3 linked regions of the Lonchura striata genome follow. The protein of the gene in region 2 purifies or fractionates together with the protein of the main gene of each other region. This does not show direct contact. Links are inferred from orthologs where the notes say so. Each region holds a gene or a part of one and is shown on either strand. Other genes may lie near its edges.

Evidence for each region.
Region 1: the proteins of HDAC1 (region 2) and EHMT1 purify together in Homo sapiens (affinity purification with mass spectrometry; 4 studies listed by BioGRID and IntAct, counting the BioPlex papers as one, with this or other methods). This does not show direct contact. The link is inferred for Lonchura striata from reciprocal best matches to the Homo sapiens genes HDAC1 and EHMT1.
Region 3: the proteins of HDAC1 (region 2) and GSE1 purify together in Homo sapiens (co-immunoprecipitation; 7 studies listed by BioGRID and IntAct, counting the BioPlex papers as one, with this or other methods). This does not show direct contact. The link is inferred for Lonchura striata from reciprocal best matches to the Homo sapiens genes HDAC1 and GSE1.

The regions. Positions count from the first base shown.
Region 1 is NC_134624.1:4,059,670-4,067,159, reverse strand, and holds the start of EHMT1 (histone-lysine N-methyltransferase EHMT1), read left to right. Parts: upstream 1-4,423; 5' UTR 4,424-4,505; coding exon 4,506-4,568; intron 4,569-7,134; exon of another isoform or gene 7,135-7,490. UniProt on the Homo sapiens protein: Histone methyltransferase that specifically mono- and dimethylates 'Lys-9' of histone H3 (H3K9me1 and H3K9me2, respectively) in euchromatin.
Region 2 is NC_134628.1:1,055,757-1,062,834, reverse strand, and holds the start of HDAC1 (histone deacetylase 1), read right to left. Parts: upstream 3,098-7,078; 5' UTR 3,040-3,097; coding exon 2,991-3,039; intron 1-2,990. UniProt on the Homo sapiens protein: Histone deacetylase that catalyzes the deacetylation of lysine residues on the N-terminal part of the core histones (H2A, H2B, H3 and H4).
Region 3 is NC_134615.1:21,631,641-21,639,603, forward strand, and holds the start of GSE1 (genetic suppressor element 1), read right to left. Parts: upstream 3,068-7,963; coding exon 1,112-3,067; intron 1-1,111.

The DNA.
Region 1 (7,490 bases), on a different chromosome or scaffold from region 2:
TCTTTGGCTCAGATGGGGGCTGCCTTTATGGCTTTGCAGAATTCACCGCCGTGGCTTTTCCTCCTTGTGTGACTCTGGCAGTGGAGGTGATCTCAGCCCCAAGTTTTCATGTAGGGCCTGGTTCTCTTGATGAGGAAATTTGACTTAATTAGTTTCAGCTGCTGGAAACCCACTGGTGTGCTGGCTCCTATTGTGCTGTGGGAAGGTGTAAGGTAGCCTTAAAGACCCACTGCCACCTTATGGCAGTTGCTGAGAAGCAGCGTCTGTGGAGCCAATTCTGTACACACATCATGCTCGCTCTATTTCTCTGCTCCTCTTAACCAGGGATATTTGCATGGAGGCAGGAGCTTTGTTTTCACCGAGTTCATCTGCTCCTTCTGTTCCTTGCAGAAATTTGATAAAGTCAGCAGGATGGCTGGGAGAGCCGTCAACAGGCGCTGTTCCACAGGAGCTCATGATCTGGGGAGAGACACAAAGGCTTCGTGGAGCACTGATTCTCCTCCAGTGAAGAGCTTGCTTATTTTCATGTCAGTGCCTCAATCCTTAAAAAAAATAGGTGTGAGGTCAAAGAACAGGGCCACACTGAACACGTGAGGCGTGTTGGCAGGATCTCCAGCGCTTGTTGCAGCAGGAGGAGGATGGAATGTGCACAGCCATTTTCCCAGCCTGCTGCTGGCAGGGCGCTGCAGGATGGCTTTGCACTGACAAATGGGGCCACTGTCCCCAAATAAACCAATAAAACATTGGTCTGTGGAACAGTGAGTGTGCTGGAAGCAAGAGCCTGCTTGCTGTGCTGGGGGTAGAGAATGCTAGATTTAGGACCCTTCTCCAGCAAGGCTCTGTTTGTACTGTAGGAGCTCTTGATATGCCATAGCTGAATGAAGGGGAGAAATGGTGGATTTAGAACTCCAAAATAGAAAGAGCTGTGGTTACTGTAAGTTAAAGCTGAAGGAATTTATAATTGGGAACTGTTAGGAATACAGTATGTTCTAAATTACAGCTGTCTGGCCAATATGCTGCTAAATAAAGATCTAGGATTGCCCTGTAAATGAAATATTCAACGCATATTCTTATCAAAACATAGCACCATCTCCCAGAGAGCTCACATCTCAATTGCTGTCCAAGAGGATCTCTATTATGTTCCTTTTTTTTTTTCCTTTTTAGCGTGTATGATTTACTCAGTGCAGTATCCCAGGGAACATTTCTGGTTTCCTATTAAGTAAAAACAGTTTTCAACTCTACTGGGGAAAAGAGGAGAGGAAGGGAAATGGCTTGGAAGCTTTAGGGATATAAAACCAGGTTTTAAAAGATGGGGAAAGCTATGATTCCAAAAGATGCATTAATGACTGCCTGTTGACTGCCTGTTCTTTCAAAGCTGTTACCTGAGCCTGGAGGTGGACATTGGAGGGTGCTGAGGATACCCAGTATGTCCTGAGCTATTCTGATTAAGAAATGTTGTATATTATGGTTGAAGAGCAGAAGGAATGTTTGAATAGCTTGTGGTGAAGCTGGAGAATGGTTTATAGCAGTGCAGAAACAATCAGGATTCCAGCAGAAATGCTCATCTCATACCCAAAGTCCCTTCAGCTTTTGGGATTGTTTCTGAGGAGGCTGAAAGGGAGCATCAGATTTGATCAAGGGGAGAGTCTGCAAGAAGAGAAGCCTGATGGAAGAAAGGAAATAAGGAAAACCCTCTGTATTTTGCAGAGCTAAATATTGTTCTTCCTATAAAAAGAAAAACCTCCCTTTGCCTCCCACTTAGGCTTCCCTGCAACGGAGCTGTGAAAATGCTGGACTTACTGGTGTCATTAAGCAAGAGCCCTGAGGAACCTGGTGTCCTTTGTGAAGGGAGGTGTTTGTGCTGCTCCCTTCCTCCTGAAAATGTGGGATTTCTGATAGGGGTGTTTGAGCCTTCAGTCAGAGGAGGGAGGCTGGAGAGCTGTGGGGTGAAAATACCCTGTAATCTGTGGGCCCTGGCAGGAATGTTTGGAAAGGGGGGTGTCACTGTGCTGGGAAGGCTGCTGGAGGGCACTTGGGCTAAATAAAGGGCACAGCATCTCGGGGCACAGGCCTGTTCTCATCCTCCATCATCAGCAAAACCTTTTCCTCAGCCAGCCTGGAAAGAGGACTGTGACTGCTGGTGTGCAGCACCTGACCCCTGCCAAGGGGGGACAGGGGGGTCCCGGGCAAGAGACACCTCTCCCAGTGCCAATGGCTGTGCCCTGCAAGCTTCTTGCTGCTTTTGGATGACAGAAATGTGAGGTTTCACTGAGTGACACCCAGGCATCCCCCGTGGCAGAGATGCTGCTACGGCACCGATCGATCGCTTTACTCAAGTTGGTTGTTGAGGCATCTGCAGTACCCTGGTGAGCTCTGCTTTCTCCTTTTTGTTTCTAAACAGTGTTTAGTGCTTTCAAGGATGGCCATGAGATGTGAAAAGTGTCTCTGGTAGCATCTGCTCTCAGTGTATATTTAACCTCAGCAGTGAACACATGTCTGGTGTGGAGATGCAGTGGGGAGGCTGTGGCTGTGCCGCCGTTCTCGGGCGTTATTTTATCTGAGAAAGGGAATGTTGACTGTGGTGGATCATTGACACTGCCTTTGTTAATATCTTAGTTTCTATTTCTGGGCTTTTAATGAAAGCGTGGTAATTTCATGCTGCAAGGAAGGGCAGCAATCAACTGCATCAACTGTTTTAAAGCCATCTTTGGTTTGAAGTACAGTAATCTTTTGATGCGGTGGATAAGGCAACTCCTGTCTACATAGCTGGGGTTTGTTGCTTTTGTTTGAGGATTTTTGAATTTGTCTTTAAATGAGTTACCTCTGCACCTCTCAGTGACTGAGAGAAAGGCCAGGAAAACCTCATTTTGTGTATATTAAAACTTAAGACTCACGTTGGATGAAAACCTGGTGGGTGAAAGTGATCCTTTCTTTATCCTGTCACCTCAAATACTCCTTGCCTATGAATTTCAATCATCTCAATTTAGCCTTGTGTGTTTTAACTGTTTAGTAGTGAAACTTCTCCAGAGTGTGGAGAGGAAACAACATCCTCATAGCCAAGGGAGATCTGTAACAGCTCTTTGCTGCTTTAATTATTGCAGCTCTGCAAACGTGCCTGGCCACAGTGGTGAAAGAGCTGCTGGGACTGGAGGAAACGTGGCTTGTGGATGTTTCCAGCCTGGCAGAGCCGGCCATGGCTGTTGTGCTGTGCTGAGGCCTGGACTCGCCTGGTGCTGGGGCAGGACAAACTTCATCCCCAGGCTCTCCCAAACCTCCCTAGGGATTTGGATGGCTTGTTCCTCCCTGCAGTGGAGTCTGCTCCCTGCCCTCCCAGCTCACTGTCACACATTGCACTCCACTCATCCTCACTGTAGTTTCTACTCTTAAAGAGAACTCTCTCTTTAGGAGGACGCTCTCCAGTGCTCTCCTCTTTTGGAAAGCTGTTTTTCCTTTGGCCAAGAGCACGCGGGTGGTGCCACGGGGCCATGTCAGAGTTTCCTCTTCTTTCTGGCCTCTTCCTCGAGGTTGCTGGCTGCCCTCCCCCTGCTCGGGGGGAGGTTCTCCAGCCTGACACCCGGCTCCAGCAGCCTCCTGCTCCTGCCTCCAATAAATGCCAGTCTTCCTTGAATCCCTTCCAGCCGAGCTCTGCTTACAGATGTTCCTGCGAGCTGCTCTGGCAGTTTTACTGGGAGCCTGAGCAGATATGAAGGTTGCCAAGAGTTTATGCTTAATTGTGAAGTGGAACAGAGACAAACTACTTTTATTTTGAAGCTAAAATTTCTTCTGTTATCTTGCTGGCTGGGGCCAGCAGTATTGTAGGGTTTGACATAGACTGAGCTTAGAGCTCCTGTGCCTTGTAGTGAACTATCCCTTCATTAGGGTGGGGATGAGGATGGATCCATGAGGATGTCCCTTCATTCTGTTCCCCCCCTGCTTTTCCATGACTGTGTTTGTGATACCCTTTCAAAGTCAGTTGTACCAGGTCAGGTTATTAATCCCCAAAGTGAAAATGATCTCCCCTTCAGATCAGCAGTTCAGATCTCGAAGAGACGCTGTCTTGGGCACTGCTCCCTGCATCAGTTTAACCCATGTGCCTTCATCCCAGCTCTCAGAGGTTGGGCACTTCGTTAAGCACTACAAAATCAGCCCAGGGACATCCCCAAGCCACTCACATCCCTCCCTGTCCTTCCTGCCTCTCCTTTTCCCACGGGCAAGTGCTACTCTTGAAGGCCACGAGACAGCACTCTGGTTTAAAAAGCTTTCTCTTTTTTTCAGGCGAGTGATCAGTTTTGAGGCCTGGCGCCCTGTCAGAAAGTTGACAGATGATCTGCATTACCGGTGCGTCCCGGGGATGCCCGGGATAATCGCGCTCCAATGGACGCCCTGGAGCCGGCAGGTTCTCTGTGAAATGGCTGCAGTGGAGGGAGCAGTGAAATGGGCTCTTCTGGGCATGCTCACTCTGTAGAGGGAGCTTTATCACATGAGCAGAAACTGAATCACTGCTCATGAGGATCTGGAATATGCAACTCTTGGAGTCTTCACCAGAAGAAGACAACAGCTGCCCGCAGGTACCGCAGGGTCCGTCCACCTCCCGTGCCTGGCGAGGCCCTGGCAGGGCAGGGCTGCGTCCTGCCCGGGAAGGAGAAGCCTTGGAGAGGAGAGGAGGAGCAGAGGCCGGGGAAGCATGGCCGGGGCTGTTTGTTCATTTGTTTGGATATTCCTGCGCGCGGCTGCCCGGTGCGGGGTGGGCATGGCCCATCCTGCTGGCATGGCCCATCTGCAGGCATGGCCCATCCTGCAGGCATGGCCCATCCTGCAGGCATGGCCCATCCTGCTGGGATGGCCCATCCTGCTGGCATGGCCCATCCTGCTGGGATGGCTCTTCCATGGGCTCCGAGGGGCCTCGGCGCCCGGCAGCGCCGCCGGCAAACCTCGGGCTTTGTTTCCTCGTGCCTTTCGTTTGTCTCCTGGGGTGGGGAAGCTCGCTTGGGGTTGGTTTGGTTTTGGGTTTTTGGTTCTTTTTTTTTTTTTTTTGGTGTTTTTAGGATTTGTTTGTGCTTTTAAAGTGTGAAGTTTCTGGAAAATTCTCCAAGGAGCTGCTTGTAGCTGTTAGAAGAAAAAGGCACAAAGCCTGGGGTGCCCGAGCTGCTTGAAGACTGAATGTCTAAAGGGGAGGAGAGGGCCTGTGGCCACATGGCACCTCCTCACTGGGTCTCTTTTGACAGCCTCTGCCTATGGCTTGCTGGGGTGGAGGCCAGAGCCAACAGCATTTTACCAGGAAGAAGCAATCCTTTTTATTTTGGGGTCACTTCCTCCCTTCTCTCTTCTTTTTTTTTAATTTTTTTTTCATAATAGCAATCCAAGGAAACATCTGATGCAAAGGAAACATCCGTGGTTGACTTCATGGCAGGAACATGCCTGCAACATATTTTAAAACTCAGCCCCCCGGTTCTGCCCTTGGGATTTTTTTTTTCCTCTGTGATTTGTGTTACATGCAAGAACTGTTGGCTGCCACAGACCTTGGTGAGATTTGGGATGGACACAGAAGGTCCCAGGCCCCTGGAAGGCACGGACAGCCCTGCAGAACACTGGCCTGAGCTTGCTGTGCTCCAGGGAGACCCTCGAATCTGCAATGTTGACACAATATTGAACTTTCAATCAAGGAGCAAGATGTGAAGATGGCATTTAAAATATCAGGGAGCTTACATGGGACAATCTGTGATACCTAATCTAAATATCTGTTGTTTCTCCACTGGATGATAAATGTGCTCATTGTTCATCATTCAGAAGAAAAGGAAAAGGCATCAGAAGTCAGGAGGAGAGAGCTGAGATTTCTCTTTAACAGTGAAGAGCTGAGGCCTTGACCTGCTGCCTGAGCAGCTTCACTCAGGGAGAAAATGAGCTTTGGGCTTGATGAAGGCTGAGGAGACAACCAAAAACCCTCTGAGGTGTGGGAGGTGTGCTCCTGTGTGGTGGTGACACCAGCGTGGCTTTGGCTGGAAGTGCCCAACGCTCTGTCCCTGCCGGCTGGGGCCCTTGGGAAGCGTCTGCAGAGACGCAGAAAAGCCTGACCTACTTTGGAGGGAAGAGAGCCGCCGAGGTCTGGGCTTGGCACTGCTTCTCAGCAAGGGTTAAGAGCCCAAAGTGGGGCCTTTGGGTCTTGGTTTTGTTCTGTTTCATGTATTTAACTGCCTGTGCGGTGCCAGCACGAGCTCTTGCCCTCGTCCCAGGACATGTTTGGGTAGGACTAGGCTCTGTGGCACATATGAGGCATATTCCTGCAGCTCAGCCTCTGTGAGACCAGCCCTGGGCAGGGGGCAGAGGCAGCTCCATGACCTGGCTCCTGGGAGCTCTCCCATGTGATGCCATCTCCTGAGGAAAGAGAGTTGTGTGCACCTCATGCAATGGCAGTGAGTTGTTTTATTCAGGTAAACAAGGAGTTTTAAGGAGCTTTGCTCTCCTGGCCAGCTGGTTTGGGGGAGGGCTGACTTGGTTCCTGCTGCTCCTCTTTGTTTTCCTTTTGCTGCTTTTCCCTGAAGTTTTTCCTTCTCGCCTTCCTGCTCCTGAAGCTGAGAGTGGTCGAGGAATGGCCGCAGCGGGAGAGTGACCGTGTGTTGGGGTCAGCCCAAAAGCTCAGGGCACTGATGGCGTGTGCTCCCTGCTTGCAAGCCTTGGAGGACCATATGTTCCTGCAGTGACATGGAATGTCAGTGATTTGGAAACAAATCCCTGAATTAATAATCCTCAACTCCCATTTTCAGCCAGTTATTTTTTCTGACTCCTCCAAACACCAGCTCCCTCTTTGCAGACCCTTATGGCCTCTCATGTTTCCAGTGGGATTTGTCCCTCTTGTGCCCCTGTGAGCTCCTTGGTCTCTTGGGTGGAGGATATGTGTCTGGCTTTGCTGTAGGGTGGTGTTGGTCCTGGAGGGGGGCAGAGGAGGAGGGCAGCCTGCCAGGATTTACAGTAGTCAGGAAAGCAGCAGGAGCGAAGCTCTCAAACTGTACAAGCTAATTGGAAAGCATCCATTAGAAAAAAGAAAAGGGAAATATAAAAGGGGAGAAAATGTTGAGCAAGCTTTTAAAAAACATCCTGGACTCCAACACAACAACTTGCATCCTCCAAAACAGGTGATTTAAATATGTTTTTCCTTCAGTCCCCATCAGGAGGGGGAAGGAGGTGAGAAGGGCCGAGGCAGTGGGGGTTAAGAAGGTCTGACGTGCAAGTGTCCTCCCTGCAACACTGCCATACTGTGCCTGAGCAGCACAGTGGCTCTTGCAAAGGAAGCTTTTCACAACTTGTCCTTGTTCCAAGGATGAGGAAACCTCCAGCTCTTCTGGCATTTTCTCTCTGTCATAAGTCAGAGCTGCTTTCACCTGTGAAGTATGATCAGCACAGACAGGGAGAGGGCTGGAATGGAGCGGGGCTCTGAGCAACCTTAAAAGGCTTTTCATGGAGTTCTTGGTGTTAAATGAAGAACATTTCCCCTC
Region 2 (7,078 bases):
GCCCTGGAGTTAATCCCAGCTCAGACAATGACTCAGCCCAGGAACACCCGGCCTGTGCCTCACTTTCCTCCTGTTTACCCACGGGAAACGGGATCCAGGGAACTCTGGACTCTGCAAACACCACCCAGCTCTGCTTTTACAGCTCCACACTTGGTTTCACCCCTTTTGATCCCTTCAAATCCTCCAGAGGATTCCCAGGCCTTTCCAGCCACCCGCCAGGAATTGTTTTATGGGACATGGGGAACAAAGTCACCTCCCCACGTGGATTTTCTCCTCCAAACTGAGCTCACACCTCACTGATAAATGGGGTTTTTATTCCACCTCCTTTCCCAGGGGCACTCATTTCCCTGAATTTCACAGGAATTTCCCTTTCAGATTTCTGCCTGATTTGGCTGCAGGGAGCAGGAATCTCTCCCAAGCTTCATTTTCCTGGGAAACCAGCCCAAGCTGTTCCTGGGCTGGAACAACTCCTGCTCCTTTTGGGAAGCAGGGGATCCAAGCCGGTCTGGCCGGTGACTCAGAGGGGAGAATTCACATTTCATCACCACTCTCCACCTTCAGCAGAAGCAGTTTTTCTTCCTCCTGTGGACATGGATCTATTTCCAGGTAGGAAAATGAGATGCCAAAAGTGCAAATCCCACATCCAGGCAAGTCTGCTGCTGGAATTGACCTGTCTGTGGAGCTCTGGGGAGATGTTCTTTCAGTAAATAGAATTTTTTTTTCAGGTAAAATCACTTTTTTTCTCACTGAAAATAATTCTGTTTTCTCACATTTTGGCAACCCGTGCTGGTGTAACCATCCTGCCGTGTTTTAGGGACGGATTTTACTACCTCTAAATCAAGATTTGGGGAACTTGTAAGAGATGTTTGAGGCTGTACATAGGAAATAGAAGCACAGAACTCGGAGAAGCTTTTACAAAAATCCCCATCAGCTGTCCAGGGAATGCCCTGGGCCAACCCTGAGCTCCTGTTCCCTGTGCTGAGCACATCCCAAGCCCTGTGGATCCCTGGATGAGCTCAGCTGCTCCTGGACGTCAGAGCAGATTAAGGAGTGTGAACTGAGCAGGCTCTGCTGGGGTTAAACAAATCCCTCCATCAGGAGGCTCTGAATGGAGAAATTCCACCCAAATCTTTCCTCAGCCACTCAGGAGTGCAGGGAAGGACCCCAATTCCTTCATCCCATGAAATTCAGGGAATTCCCACAGCAGGTTAGGCTGGTTCCAGCCTCCCAGCGTGGAAAAGAAAAGGCTCCAATCAACAAATTATTTATTTCCTCTCAGTAAAAGCAGCTTTTTACCCCTCAGCTGTGGACGTTGAAAAGCTGCTCAGAAAAGAACAGTAAAAAGGAAAAAAAAAAATTTAAAAAATGGCACTAAAAGCTCACCACAAAGTATGGAACCCAAATTGGTGAAATTCTTGTGCAGCAAAGACCTGCAGGGCAGCAGCATTTCAAACAAAACAACTGCTTATTTCATATTTCAGATATAATTCAATGCCTTTAAAAATTATAACCCAGCAGGGCTGAGAACCTCCTATTTGAAGGGAAAAAAACGACATTTTTAGAGGGGGAAAAAAAAGCTCTGAGCATAGGATTTGGAAAAGCCTCCTTCCTTAGAGAGGGGGAAAAAGTAGCAAGAAGAAGTTTTTTATTTGATTTCAGGCCAAAAACCGTGTGGGAGCAGAGAATTGCACAAGGCCTGTGGCACAAGGTGAGCACAGAGGCAGCGAAAAAGGAGCAGGGGAAGGGAGAGGGGCAGCACTGGGATTGCTCAGCCCCACAGGACAGCCAGGGATTTGGGATTTGGGATTTGTTCCTTCCCTGCTGCACAGGGATGCTGAGGCAGCCCCAAAAGGAGCCACCATCCACACTCCAGAGGCACAGCTGGAGGATGCTCCTGGCAGGAGCTGCCTGCACACAGCCACCCTGGCTCCCAAAAGCTTTTTGGCCCCTGCTGACCCCAAAAAAACGCTGTCCCAGGAGTGCCTCATCCTCCTCAGAGCCCAAAATCCTCCTCCAGCACCTCAGCACCCAAAAAGACTCTCTCCTGGCCTCCAGCCCCTCTCACCAAGCCCAGACCCTTCCCAGCCTTTCCCATCTCCCAAATCCTCAGATCTCCACATTTCCCCATCCCATCCCAAACACCTGATCTTCCCCCAAATCCCCACATTTCCCTGGTTTTCTCTCAAATCCCCAAATCCCCACATTTCCCCATCCCAACCCCCATTTCCCTGATATGCCCTCAAATCCCCATCCCCCTGATCTTCCTCCAGATCTCCACATTTCCCCCATATTCCCTCAAATCCCCAGATCCCCAAATTTCCCCATCCCGCTGTTCCTTCCCCCAAATCCCCACATTTCCCTGATACTCCCTCAAATCCCCAGATCCCCAAATTTCCCCATCCCCCTGATCTTCCCCCAAATCCCCACATTTCCCTATCCCAAACCCCTGATCTTCCCCCAAAACCCCAAATTTCCCCATCCCATCCCTCTGATCTTCCCCCAAATCTTCAAATCTCCCCATCCCAACCCCCTGATCTTCCCCCAATCTCCCAAATTTCCCCATCCCACCCCCCGATCTCCCTCCACTCTTCCCATTCTCCTCTCCAGCTCTCCCCATACCCCTGCCATGCCCCCCACACGCTCCCTACGCCTCTCAACCCCATTAAAAACCCCACACAACCCCTGATCCCCATTCCCCGACCGTCCCCGCCCATCAATACCCCCAACACCCATCCCAAAACCTCTCAACCCCCTCACCTCCATGACCCCAACGATCCCCCATTACCAACCTCTCATCCCACCCCCAGCACCCCCATCCTCCCTCAGTGACCCCATTACCCTCACCCCCCTCTCCATTACCGCCTCATGACCCCTCACCCCTCACCCCCGCCTCCTCCGTCCGCGATGCCCCCTCATCCCCCCCTCCCCCCCGCCCCAGGACGGCTCCCCCGCGGCCCGGCAGCCCCGAGGGGGTGCCCGCAGCTCCTCACCATCGTAGTAGTAGCAGACTTTGCGCTTCGTGCCCTGCGTCAGCGCCATTTTCCTGCCTCCCCTCACAGCGCCCGACCCGCCGCCGCGCCGCGCACCCAACCCCGCCCGCCCCGGGCCCGCGGGCCCGCCCCCCGCGCCGCGCCGGCCAATCGCAGCTCTCCGTTCCTCCCCCTCCCGCCCGCTGGCCAATGGCAAGGCGCAGCGGCACCTAGCAAGTTAGGCTGAGCGCCGGGGGTGCTTGGGCTGTACCACTGCGGCGGGGGATGGGGGGGTGGTGGTGGCTGTACCATCGAGGGTCCAGGTGGGCAGGGAGGAACCATTCCCTTGGTGGGGTGGGGGGGGCAGGTGGGGCTGAACCATCCCAGGGGAGGGGGGAGCCAGGGCAGGTTGGGCGAGTGAAGGGCCAGGGGTGGCTACCAGGGCTGAGGGGGGGTCCCGGGGGTCGCAGGGGCTCCCTGGGGTGGGTTGGTGCCGGTGGGGTCCGTGTGCTGTGGGCATCGCCCCGCGTGCCGCACCCCGTGGCAGCCTGGCCCCCGCTGCTGAAAATGCCTTTATTTCCCCAAAGTCGCTGTAAAATTCTCCTGCGCACGCCGTGAGGGCAGAGGGAGCTCCAGCAGCCGCGGGGTGCGGTGGCCAGCGCTGCTGGGGGGGGTTCCTGCCATCCCAAGGGAGTGAAGGGGGCACAGAGCGGGGCAGGAGAGCCCTGAGGGGCTGGAGCCTGGATTTTCCACTGGGAAGCGCAGGGATGGCAGGGTGGGCACCCTGAGAGCATCTGTGCCATGCCCCAGATTTTGGGGGACTGCTTTGGCTGTGCAGCCCCTCCTGGAGGAGTCAAATCTGCAGTCCCCAATCTTTGGAATGCTTCAAATCCTCACAGAGCTCTCCCCTCATCCTGGACCCCTCAGACATCCATGGAGGCTGTGGGGCACCCCACAGCAGAGCCCTCAAGGACTGGCCCTCCATGGCAGTGAAGAAATCCTCAAGCATGCTCTTCATGAAGTCGAAGGTGGGTGAAGGGGGCACAGAATGGGGAAGGTGAGCCCTGAGGGGCTGGAGCCTGGATTTTCCCTCTGGGAAGCGCAGGTATGGCAGGGTGGGCACCCTGAGGGCACCTGTGCCATGCCCCAAGCTTTGGGGGTCTGCAGCCCCTCCTTAAGGACTCAAATCTGCAGCCCCCAAGGTTTGGAATGCTTCAAATCCTCACAGAGCTCCCCCCTCATCCTGGACCCCTCAGAGGTCCATGGGGTCTGTGGGGCACCCCACAGGTGCACCCTCAGGGCTGCTGCTGGTTCTGGCCCTCCATGGTGGTGAAGAAGTCCTCGAGCACGCTCTTCATGAAGCCAAAAGGGGGTGAAAGGGACACAAGAGTGGGGCAGGAGAGCCCTGGGGGGCTGGAGCCTGGATTTTCCCTCTGGGAAGAGCAGGGATGGCAGGGTGGGCACCCTGAGGACATCTGCGCCATGCCCCAAGCTTTGGGGGTCTGCAGCTCCTCCTGGAGGACTCAAATCTGCTCTCCCAAGCTTTGGAGCACTTCAAATCCTCACAGAGCTCCCCACCCCAGCCTGGGTGAGGTCCGTGGGGTCTGTGGGGCACCCCCAGCACCCCACAGCAGCACCCTCAGGGCTGCTGCTGGTACTGGCCCTCGGTGGCGGTGAAGAAGTCCTCGAGCACGCTCTTCATGAAGTCGAAGGTGGGGCGCTCCTCGGGGCTCTCCTTCCAGCACTGCCTCATCAGCTCGTACAGCTCCGCCGGGCAGTTGTCCGGCTGCGGCATGCGGTAGCCACGCTCCAGGTTCTGGATCACCTCGGGGTTGGTCATCCCTGCCAGGACCCGATTCGGGTCATCCCCATGGTGTGGGTGGCACCCTGGGGTTGGGCATCCCAGCCAGGACCCAGTTTGGGTCACTGGAACCACCCCAGGGTTGGTCACCCCTGCCAGGACCCAGTTTGGGTCACTGGAACCACCCCAGGGTTGGTCACCCCTGCAAGGAGGATGGCCAGGACCCAGTTTGGGTGGCAGGGACCACCCCAGGGTTGGTCATTCCTGCCAGGACAATGCCCAGGACCCAATTTGGGTGGCAAGGACCACCCCAAGCTCAGTCACCCTTGACAGGACAATGCCCAGGACTCAGTTTGGGTCACCCCAGGTTTTAGGGACCACCCCAGGATTGGTCATTTCTGCCAGAAGAATGCCCAAGACCCATTTTGGGTGGCAGGTACCTCTCCCCACCCTCCCAAACCCCGCATGGGGGGCACCTCCCATCCCCTCCCATCCCCTCCATCCCCTCCCCAGGTGGCTTTGGCCACCGTGCCCGGTGCAGCCGGGCCGGGCAGGGTGCCAGGCTGGCAGCAGCGTGCGTGCAGCGCTGCATGCACACGCACACACACACACACACACACACAACACACCGCGGGCGTGCCGGCCCCGCAGCTGCCCCAAAATCCTCACCTGGATACGGGATCCGGCCGTAGGTGACGATCTCGGTGAGCAGGATGCCGAAGGACCACACGTCCGACTTGATGGTGAACGTCCCGTAGTTGATGGCCTCGGGTGCCGTCCACTTAATGGGGAATTTGGCCCCTGGAAAGCGGTGGGAAGGGGAGGATAAAGCGCTGGAACCTGATTGAATTCCGTGTGACAGCTCTGTCGCTGCCTGGGCACCGGCTGGCTCTGGTGGCTGAGCCCCCCGAGCCTGCGGGAGCCCCCCCAAAGCACTCCAGCCGCGGGGGGAGAGAGATGGAAAAGGCAAAATCCATCCTTGCACCCCTCTCCTGCAGCTCCCCGGGGATCCAGGCTGGCCGCGGGTCCCCCTCCCGGTGTCCCCAAGCCCGGTGACCCCCGGGGCTGGGCGGGGCTCACCCTCCCGAGCTGTGTACTCGTTGTCCTCGATGAGCCTGGCCAGCCCAAAATCGGCGATTTTGCAGCACAAAGTGTCCGAGACGAGGATGTTGGCGGCCCTCAGGTCCCTGTGGATGTAATTCTTGGCCTCGATGAAAGCCATGCCTTCGGCAATCTGGGATTTGTAATTATGGATGAATTGCAGTTGTTAATTAACAGCTCCGGAGGTCTCCCAGCTCTCTCCCCGTTTCTCTGCTCCCCCCTCACCTGCGCTGCCATGTCCAGGAGTTTGTTGATGCTGAGCTTGACTCCTTCCGAGGTCTTGAGGAAGTCCACGAGGCTGCCTGTGATGAAAGCAGCAGTTCTCAGCTCCTGGGGGGCCTGGGGGGTCACAAGGGCCCTGTCCCCCCAAAAAAAACTCTGGCAATGTGGCCGGGAGAACACAGAAAATCCTTCATGCCCCAGCTGGATATGGGAGAGAACAAAGGCAAAGCTTCCCCGGGGCTGGAGGCGCAGGAACCTCTAAAATGAACAAATTTCCACATTGCCAGTCTTTCATTCTGACTGGTTTTGGAGCCTGCACTGGGAGGTGCTGCAGTCACCACCCTGGAGGAGTTTAAGGAATGACCAGCCCAGCCAGGACAATGGCCAGGACCCAGTTTGGGTGGCAGGGACCCCCCTAAGATTGGTCACCCCTGCCAGGACAATGCCCAGGACTCAAGCTAGATCACCCCCAGGTTTTAGGGACCAGTCTAAGGTTGGTCACCCTTTGCCAGGATGATGCCCAGGACCCATTTTGGGCCACAGGAACCACCCCAGGCTTGGTCACCCCTGCCAGGACAATGCCCAGGACACAATTTGGGTGGCAGGGACCATGCCAGGGTTGGTCATTCCTGCCAGAGCAATGCCCAGGACCCATTTTGGGCCACAGGAACCACCCCAGGCTTGGTCACCCCTGCCAGGACAATGCCCAGGACACAATTTGGGTGGCAGGGACCATGCCAGGGTTGGTCATTCCTGCCAGAGCAATGCCCAGGACCCATTTTGGGCCACAGGAACCACTCCAGGCTTGGTCACCCCTGCCAGGACAATGCCCAGGATACAATTTGGGCCACAAGAACCACGCCAGGCCCAGCCACCCTTGTCAGGACAATGCCCAGGCCCCAGCGCTCTGTCTGTTGAAGTGGGGATTTTTCACAGCATGAACTTTATCCCAAAGATCTCTTCCAGCCTTAAAGTTCCAGAGCTC
Region 3 (7,963 bases), on a different chromosome or scaffold from region 2:
CGGTGCCAACCCAACCTCCCGTGCCATCCTGGCACCCTCCAGGTGAATGCAGCTCCTGCCTGGTGGCTTTCCAAGCAGTGTCCCCCCTAGTTCAGGAGCCAGCACAGCTGAATGAGAAATTATATTTGTAAGCAGCCAAGGGAGAGCAGTGGGAGAGAAAAGGAGCGCTGTCTTGGAAGGACTGGTTTACATTTCTAAAGAAAATGCCAGTGCCTCAGAGAGCTGCAGGGTTCTGGCTATGGATGGAGCTGAAAGGCTTTGAAAATGACCTCGGGGATTTGGGATGTTGGCATTTGACAGAGCCCAGCCTGGGGCCTGGTTCGGTGATGCAGAGCAGCAGCTCTGGAGAGCTCCCACAAGCTGGAAATCTGGGAGTAAAAGCTGTTCTTTTCCTATCCCACGAGAAAGACAAGCCTGGGAGGGATAAACTTCTGCTCTGCCATGTGCTTTTGAGGTGGTGCCCTCCAAGCAACCTGTGTAACCCCAGGGGGAGCCACAGAAAGGAGCAGCTGGGGAATCTGGCAGCACCTGGGCCAACCCTTCAGGCTTGCAGGGCTTTTGGGGAGCCCTCAGTGCAGGACAACCAGAGCAGCACGGGTGGGGGGAGCCCAACCATCAGCTGTGGGGAGAGCCAGGGCTTTTCCAAGGGAAATCCTTTCATTAAGGCACCTTGTAAAACTGGGGATAAGTTGGGAAGTTTCCTACAGAGCCCATGAGCTCCTTCCCAAGGATGCTCCCGTGGAGGGCAGGCCAGGCAGTCATCCTAACCCCCTGGCACCTCTGAGCACCCTCGATGGCAAGAGGGACAGGGTCGGGATTTCCTCTGTCCTGGCTCCCACCTCCCTCATGCGAAGCTGCCAACAGCACAGACAATTCTGGAACAGGAGACGTTTTGGCTCTTCCCACCTCTTGGAAGGATTTTTATCTCTCCCTTCGCAGCTTGACAGCTCCAAAAGTTCACTGCTAAAGGCACCCCATCCATTAGCATTCACCCCCAGGACCCAGACCCAAAAGAAGAGCATCCATCTATGTCACTGCTCCAACTCCTCCTGGATTCCAGAGGTGGGAAGTGCTGGGAAAGGAGGGATGGGGTCTGGACCAGCTGCCTTACCTTGGGGAGGAGAGTCGGGGGTGCCACTGCCAGCAGCTCTGGCGGGGTCATGCTCTTGCCAGCCAGGACCACGGCCCCGCACTCGGCACAGGCGCCGATGGTCAGCTGCTTGCCATCGTCCACCAGCAGGCTGTTGGCCACGCGCAGGGTGTAGAGGAAGACGGGGAGCCTGGCCACTTGAACCGCTTTTAATCCAAGGCATCGCTTCTTCTCCTGCCGGCAGAAGAAGCAGACGAAGGTCTCCACCTTGTACTGCCGGGACCAGGCGCTGCTGGGGTGGTGGGAGTTCCTGCCCTCGTGCTGCAGCCACTGTCCCAGCAGGTCGTGGTAGCACAGGATGCAGGTGGCCACCAGCCCGGTGGAGTCGGCCGGTCTGGCCCGCGGGGCGGGCGGGTAGACCGTCAAGAAGGGGAAAAAGGGCTCCTTCTCCCCAAATCGCCCTGGAGGGTTGACGTTGAGCTGGAATTCTTTGCCAGCTCCCAACTCGGCCCCGCAGATGTAGCAGACAGAGGTGGGGCCGGACTTGATGACAGCGGGGTGGCCGGAGAGGTCACCAGCGGAGAAGACCTGGTGGTACCTCCCCAGGAAACTCTGCACGGAGGAGATGAGCTCCTCGTTGTGACAGGCCCTGTACATGGCCCACAGGTCCTGCAGCACCCCGAAGCACTTGCGGCAGCTGCTGACCTCCCAGTGCTTGTTCAACCCCTTGGCGCCGGGCGGGCAGGGCAGCAGGCTGAGGAAGGGGAAATGCATGGTGCTCTTCGCGTTGCCGTTGGTGATTTTGGCCGCCACCGGCCTCGCCTCCTTGCCGCACTCCTCCCCGCACAGGTAGCAAGCCTCGGGCACCGGCGGGATGCCCGTGCCGTCCTCCTTCATCCCTCGGCGGCCCTTGGGGGGCATGGCCCCGGCGCTGAGGGGCACCACGTAGAGCCGCTGCAGCACGGGCACGTTGGCCAGCTCGAAGCTTTGCCACTGCTGCATGAGGGAGGCGAAGCAGCAGGGGCACACCAGGGTGCTGCCGGTGGGGGACAGCGGCTGGGCGCCCGGCGGGGGGCTGTGCAGCCACAGGAACGGGAAGAAAGGTCCCGGCGAGCTCTTCTCCTGCTTCTGCACGTGGACGCGGTGCTGGGCGCCGGGCGCCAAGGGGCTGCCGCAGATGTAGCAGGCGGTGCCCGCTGCCCAAGCGGGCCGCTCGCTGCCTTCCTCCTCCTCCTCCTCCTCCTCCTCCTCGCTGGTGATGTTGATCTCGCTGTCCGACGAGCAGCAGGGGGGTCCCCGCTCGCTCCCCGCCGCCGGGGGGGCCCGCGCCGCGCCGCCCGCCCCCTCGGGCTCCGAGAGGGGCTCGGCGTCGGAGAGCTCGGAGAGCTCGGAGCCGGCTGCCGGCCCTTCCTCCTCCTCCTCTTCCTCCTCCTCCTCCTCCTCCTCCTCCGGGTGGCCGGTGGCGCGGCGCGGCGGCGCGGCGGGGTCCCAGCCCGTGGCCCCCCGCCGCAGCCCGGCTCCCCCCGCCGCCGCCGCCGCCGCCGCCGCCGCCGCCTCGCACTGATGGGGCCGCTTGAGCCAGTACATGCGCTTCTCCACCGGCGTGCGGCTGCGCTCGAAGGAGTCCCACTGCTCGCCCAGGAAGCAGCGGCAGACAGCGCAGACCAGGGCGCAGCCCTCCGCCGAGACGGCGCGGGCTCCGGGCGCCGGCTCCTGGTGCTGCAGGAAGGGGAAGAAGGGCCGGTGGTCGCGGGGGGGTCGCACTTGAAGCTTCAGCTCTTTGCCGCGGCTGATGCCGCCGCCGCAGATGAAGCAGCAGAGCGGGGGCGCCGGGGGTTGCGCGGCCCCGGGGCCGCCCCCACCCGCCGCCGCCGCCGCCTCGCCGGCCGCCAGCGCGGCCATCAGCCGCTGCTTGCGGGAGAGCGGCGCCGCCGCTGCCCCCGGCCCCGCCGCCGCCCCCGGCCCCGCCGCGCTCATCGCCGCCCCCGGCTCATCCCGCGGCTCCGCCGGACACGCAGGCTCGGGGGGCGGGTTTGCGGAGCGCTCCCCCCCACCCCTCCGCCCGCCTCCTCCCGCCGGGGGAAGGCAGCGAGAAAGGAAAGAGGAAAAAAAAAAAAATTATGATAAAACAACGGCAACAACAACAACAACAAAAAAAAATTAAAACAGCTCCCCACGGCAACAAAATATCCACGAACGGCAACAAAAATAAACCCGGGATAAAAGTTCGGTGCGAAAGTTTGGGTCCCGCCGGCGGCGCGGAGGAAGGGCGGCTGCCGGCCGCCTCCCGGCCCCGGCGCCCCCGGCCCGGCTCCTCCCCGGCCCCCCCTCCGCGACCGGCCCGCCCGGGGGGGCCCGGAGGGAGGAACGAGCCGCTGCCACCCGCCCGCCCGCCGCCAGCCCGGCGCGGAGCGACCCCACGGGGGAGGGCCGTGGGGACTCACAAAGCCACCCCCGAGGGGGTTTATGGCCGGCCCCACGCGGGGATCCCCGCACCGGCCCGCCCGCGCCGTGCCCAGTGTCCCACCCGCCACCCCCTAACCACAGCACGGCGCTTTGTGCGGCTCCCACTCCCCACAGGCACCGTGTCCTGCTTCACGCCGCCGGGACTTATCCCACCCAAGCACCGAGCCTTTCCTGCCCTTTCCAGCCATTAACTCGGTGTCCCGAGCACCCCCGGTAATTTATTTTCCACTTTCAAACTACTGCCGCTGTTCCAGTTCGATACCAGATTCTATTTCCCGCTCGATCCTAAAATGCTGCGTCGCTTTGCCACTCGCTGGTAAATAGCTGATGCGTTCCCAGCCGGAGCTGGCGGCGTTTCAGCGGCGCATGCAATAATCCCGGTATATCCTTACCTGCCTCGCAGCCCGCGATAAGATTTAATGCTTGGAAAGCACTTTGCTGTCCTTGGACAATAGGCACCGCGGAAGCGCAAACTGTGCCCAGGGCCAGCCTCAATTAAACCTGACTGATTAACCACCCCAGCGGCTCGTCAGCGTGCCCACCGGCTCGGCACGGCTCTCCCCATTAAATAAATATATTAGGAACTGGAAGGGGGATTTTTTTCAAGCAGTCTGTTTAGGAGGAAGCCTGCTGCCGGCAGTGCTGTGGAGTTTGAGTTCATGGCAAGTCACTGCAATAACCCAGGTGCTGTCCTTGCAAGTCTCCCTGAGCTTGGAGGGTGCAGAGTGAAACCCAAAGAGGCAAGGTCAGTGGTTGGATAGGACACAGGGACAGAGGGACAGCAGGATGAATGCCTGAGCCACGTGCCAGCACACCCCGATGATGCACAGAAGCCACAGTGTCCCTTGCTCCTCATCACTCCTCGGGGCACCCCGTCTGGGTCCCCCTTGGGCTGACCAACCCTTCGTGTCACCTCCCACCCGGATTGCTGGTGACAGCGTCCAGTGCTCCCCAGCAACTGGCCCCGAGATCAAACAGATTGTGTGACATCAGCTGGAGCGCGGGCAGGGGCAGGAGGGCTCTTCAGGGACCCGGATCCAGTTTCCACGCAGATGGCTCCGGTAGTAAAGAAACAGGGGGTGGGAGGCAACACACAAAGCGGGAATACGATACCTTGGGAGAACTGGCTCCACGGGGCTTTTTCAGGGGTTTCCAGAAGACAGCAGGGCCTCGTTATATTTTATTTATTTATAGGGCTGATGTGGTGGCTGCTCTATGCACCGAGGGCAGCGGGAACGCCGCGTGTCGGGGTGGACATGACTCAGACGCTCTTTAAAGATGCACTCGGTCTCTCGGTGTCGCCCCTCTTCCCGGATGGAAAGGGGCCACTGGGCCGGATGGGATCCCTGACCCCAGGCAGCAGCACCGGATCTGGGAATGCCTCACCCCGGTTGCCCAGCTGGAGCTCCGCCGGGCGCTGCGGCCACCAGCTCAGCCCACCCTTCGAGCGCAGCCGACAGATGCTCTCCCGCCTGCTCCGCAGATGGGCGAGAAAACAACACGCCACATCCAAAGTCCAGAGCTCGGCAGGGCCAAACCTCCCCTCCCCACCCTGCCCTGAAACACCGACCCTCTGTGCCCCTCTCCGCGAGCCCCCGGCTCCCCCGTTCTCCCCGCGCCCCACGGGGACACGGCCTCGGAGCAGCTTCCCGGGCCTTGGCTGCGCCCGGACAGAGCAGCTCATTTATCATCCTGTGCCGCCCTGGCCCTGCGGTTGCTGTTTGCAACAGAGAAGCTGGGAGGGAGAGAAAATTTCTCAAGTCGGCCTCGGCAAGAACTGAAAACATATGCCCTGGCGGCAAACGCGTCCCCCGGGGCGCGCGGGGATCAAGGCGAGCCTAGCGCAGGATTTTCCACCGCGGCTCCCGCCGGCGCGCTGCCCTCCTGCCAGAGCTGGCGTCCCACAGCCACCCCTGGGCCCGGGGTGGTGACAGCCAGGTCTGCTCCTCCAGCCCAGCGCTGGGAGCACACTGGGAGGCAGGGCAGGGTGGCCAATATCCCGCTGGACCTTGCTGGCTGCGCTGCAGAGCTGGCCCCGTGCTCAGAGAGGAGCCCCGGGGACAGATGTCCCTTGCGAGGTAGGGGACAGGCTCTGTCTTGGGTCAGGACTCAGCACCAGTCGTGCCAGGTGCTGGGCAAACAGCTGTGGTCGTGGGGCAGGGGGCTTCCCTGGCTTGGATGGGGCAGGGATTCAGGATGGATGCATGAGCAGCCCACAGGGTGCTGGGTCCATCCCTATCCCCATCCTTGTCCCCATTCCCGTTCCCGTCCCCATCCTCATTTCCATCCCCATTCCTGCCTCAATTCCTCCATCCATCCCCACGGCCAGCCCTAAACTTACCTTTATTCTCATCGCCATCCCCAATTCCTCTTTCCATTCCTCTGCCTGTCCCTATTGCCATCCTTATCCTCATACCCCTTTCTTTTTCCACTTCTGTCCCATCTCATCCTCACCCTCGTTCCCATCCTCATCTGCATCCTCATCCCCATTTCTATCCCTATCTCCCTCCCCATCCCCATTCCCATCCCAACCCCCCTCTCTGTCCCTATTCCTACCCCAGTTCCTATCCCAGTCCCTTTTGCCCTTGGGGCCCTGCAGGGCAGCACCCATTCCCTGGCACCCCGAGGAGCAGGCACGTGCTGCAGATCCCACATCCCAGGGACCGGGAGGTTAATATGGAAATTACCAACTGCTTATTCCTTCCAGCTGTTGCTGTGAGTCATCAAGTGCCTTAAAGAGCATTTCAAACAACACAGTGCCTTTGAGACAGCGTGACTGCTGCCCCAGCCACCCCCTCTGGATAATCCTCGGCAGGGTCTGGTGTTTGAAAAGGGAATATTTCTCCAAGGAGGCAATTCCCAGCCCTGCGTGGCCGGGGAGGAAGAACAGCCGCTGCCTCCACGGCGCCTGTCCAGGCTCCCACCTCCACCCGTGGGCTCCTGGCGTCCTGCCCGAGAGCAAAGCCAGGCAGGGAAGGGCACTGGGAAGGGCAGCCCAGCCCTGGCATCATCTCTGCTCAAAATCCAGCAGGGACATCTCAATCCCACCACGCACCCGCATGGGTGACGATCCCTGCTGTGCCACCTGGGGAAACTGAGTCAGGGGGCGGCCAGTCTGAGCTCCACAGTGTCACCTGCCCGGGGTGAAGGTGGCAGAGTGGCTGCCACGGGACACTGGGACACTGGTCTGGAGTTCAGTGACCTTGAACTCTGCACTCAACAGCTGTATTTTCCTCGGCAAGCTTTTATTTCCTTTTTTTTTTTTTTTTTTTTTAAAAGGCTGATCTCTGCACTCAGTTGGTGCTGATTTTTCAGATGGGAGAGATAGGGCTGGTTCATGGAAATAGTGGGGATATATCCCTTATCTGCTGCTTCAACCTTTCTTTGAACTTCTGGACTGACTTCATTGATTTTTCCGCTGTTCCTTTCGCTGGAAAAGCCCAGGCAGGTTTTCTCCTGCTTGCAAACTGTTTTCCCCCAGTCCTTTGCAAGGCTGTGCAGGTGAGTCAAGGATGCTCCTGGCCAAGATCCCAGCTGGTGAGAGCAGGAACATCTGCCTCTGCACAGCAGAGAGCCTGGAATCAAAAAATAATGACCCAAGGAAAGCTGTGCACAGGTGACAGGGAGCTGTGACAGGGTGCAGGGGAAGGGGACAGGGCCATCCCACGCTGAGAGAGGAGGCAGGCAAGGAGGGAAGGATGCTGCTGGCATGGTCCCCAGCAGGCAGGAAGGAGAAAGGTGACTCTGAGGAGAGGAGGGGACTACCGACTGCCACCACAGCCCTGTGGGGACACTCTGAGCCTCTCTGCTCTCCCGGACAGGCTGTGGCAAACACACTGCTGCTCCCTGACAGCTGAAGGACAAAGCCATGCGGGGACACACTCGGTGCTGGCAGGGTGGTCACAGGGGCTGAGTCCAACCGGGATCCCCAGGAGCACCCTGAGAGCCCATGAATTTAAGAGGACGATCCAGCACCCTCAGTCCATGCCCCAAACCCCTCCATGGGCACTCGCAGCGTTGATCTCGTGCCGCTCCTCCTGCTCACCCCCTCTGGGACCAGCCCTGGTTCCCCCCATCTCCCCATGGGCAGGAGGGAGGGAGCCACGTCCCCTGCGAGGCACAAGGGCCCAGTTGCTGGCTGTGGGGTTTCTTCATAAGGGCTTTTTTATTTTTTTTAAGAGATTTTTTTTTTTTTCTTTTCCTTTCCAGGGCGAGCAGCTCTGCAAATGCCAAGTGCTGATGCCAAAGGGCCGTGTCAACAAAGAAGAATGAGTGTGGCTGTTAGAGGCTGCTATTAAAAAAGGGTGGAGAGGAGAAGGGAGAGGGGGGGTGAAAAAGAGAAGAAAAGGTTTGTCACTGCAAATAATAACAGTTTGCAGAGCAGTAAAAATCCGGGAGCAGTAAAAA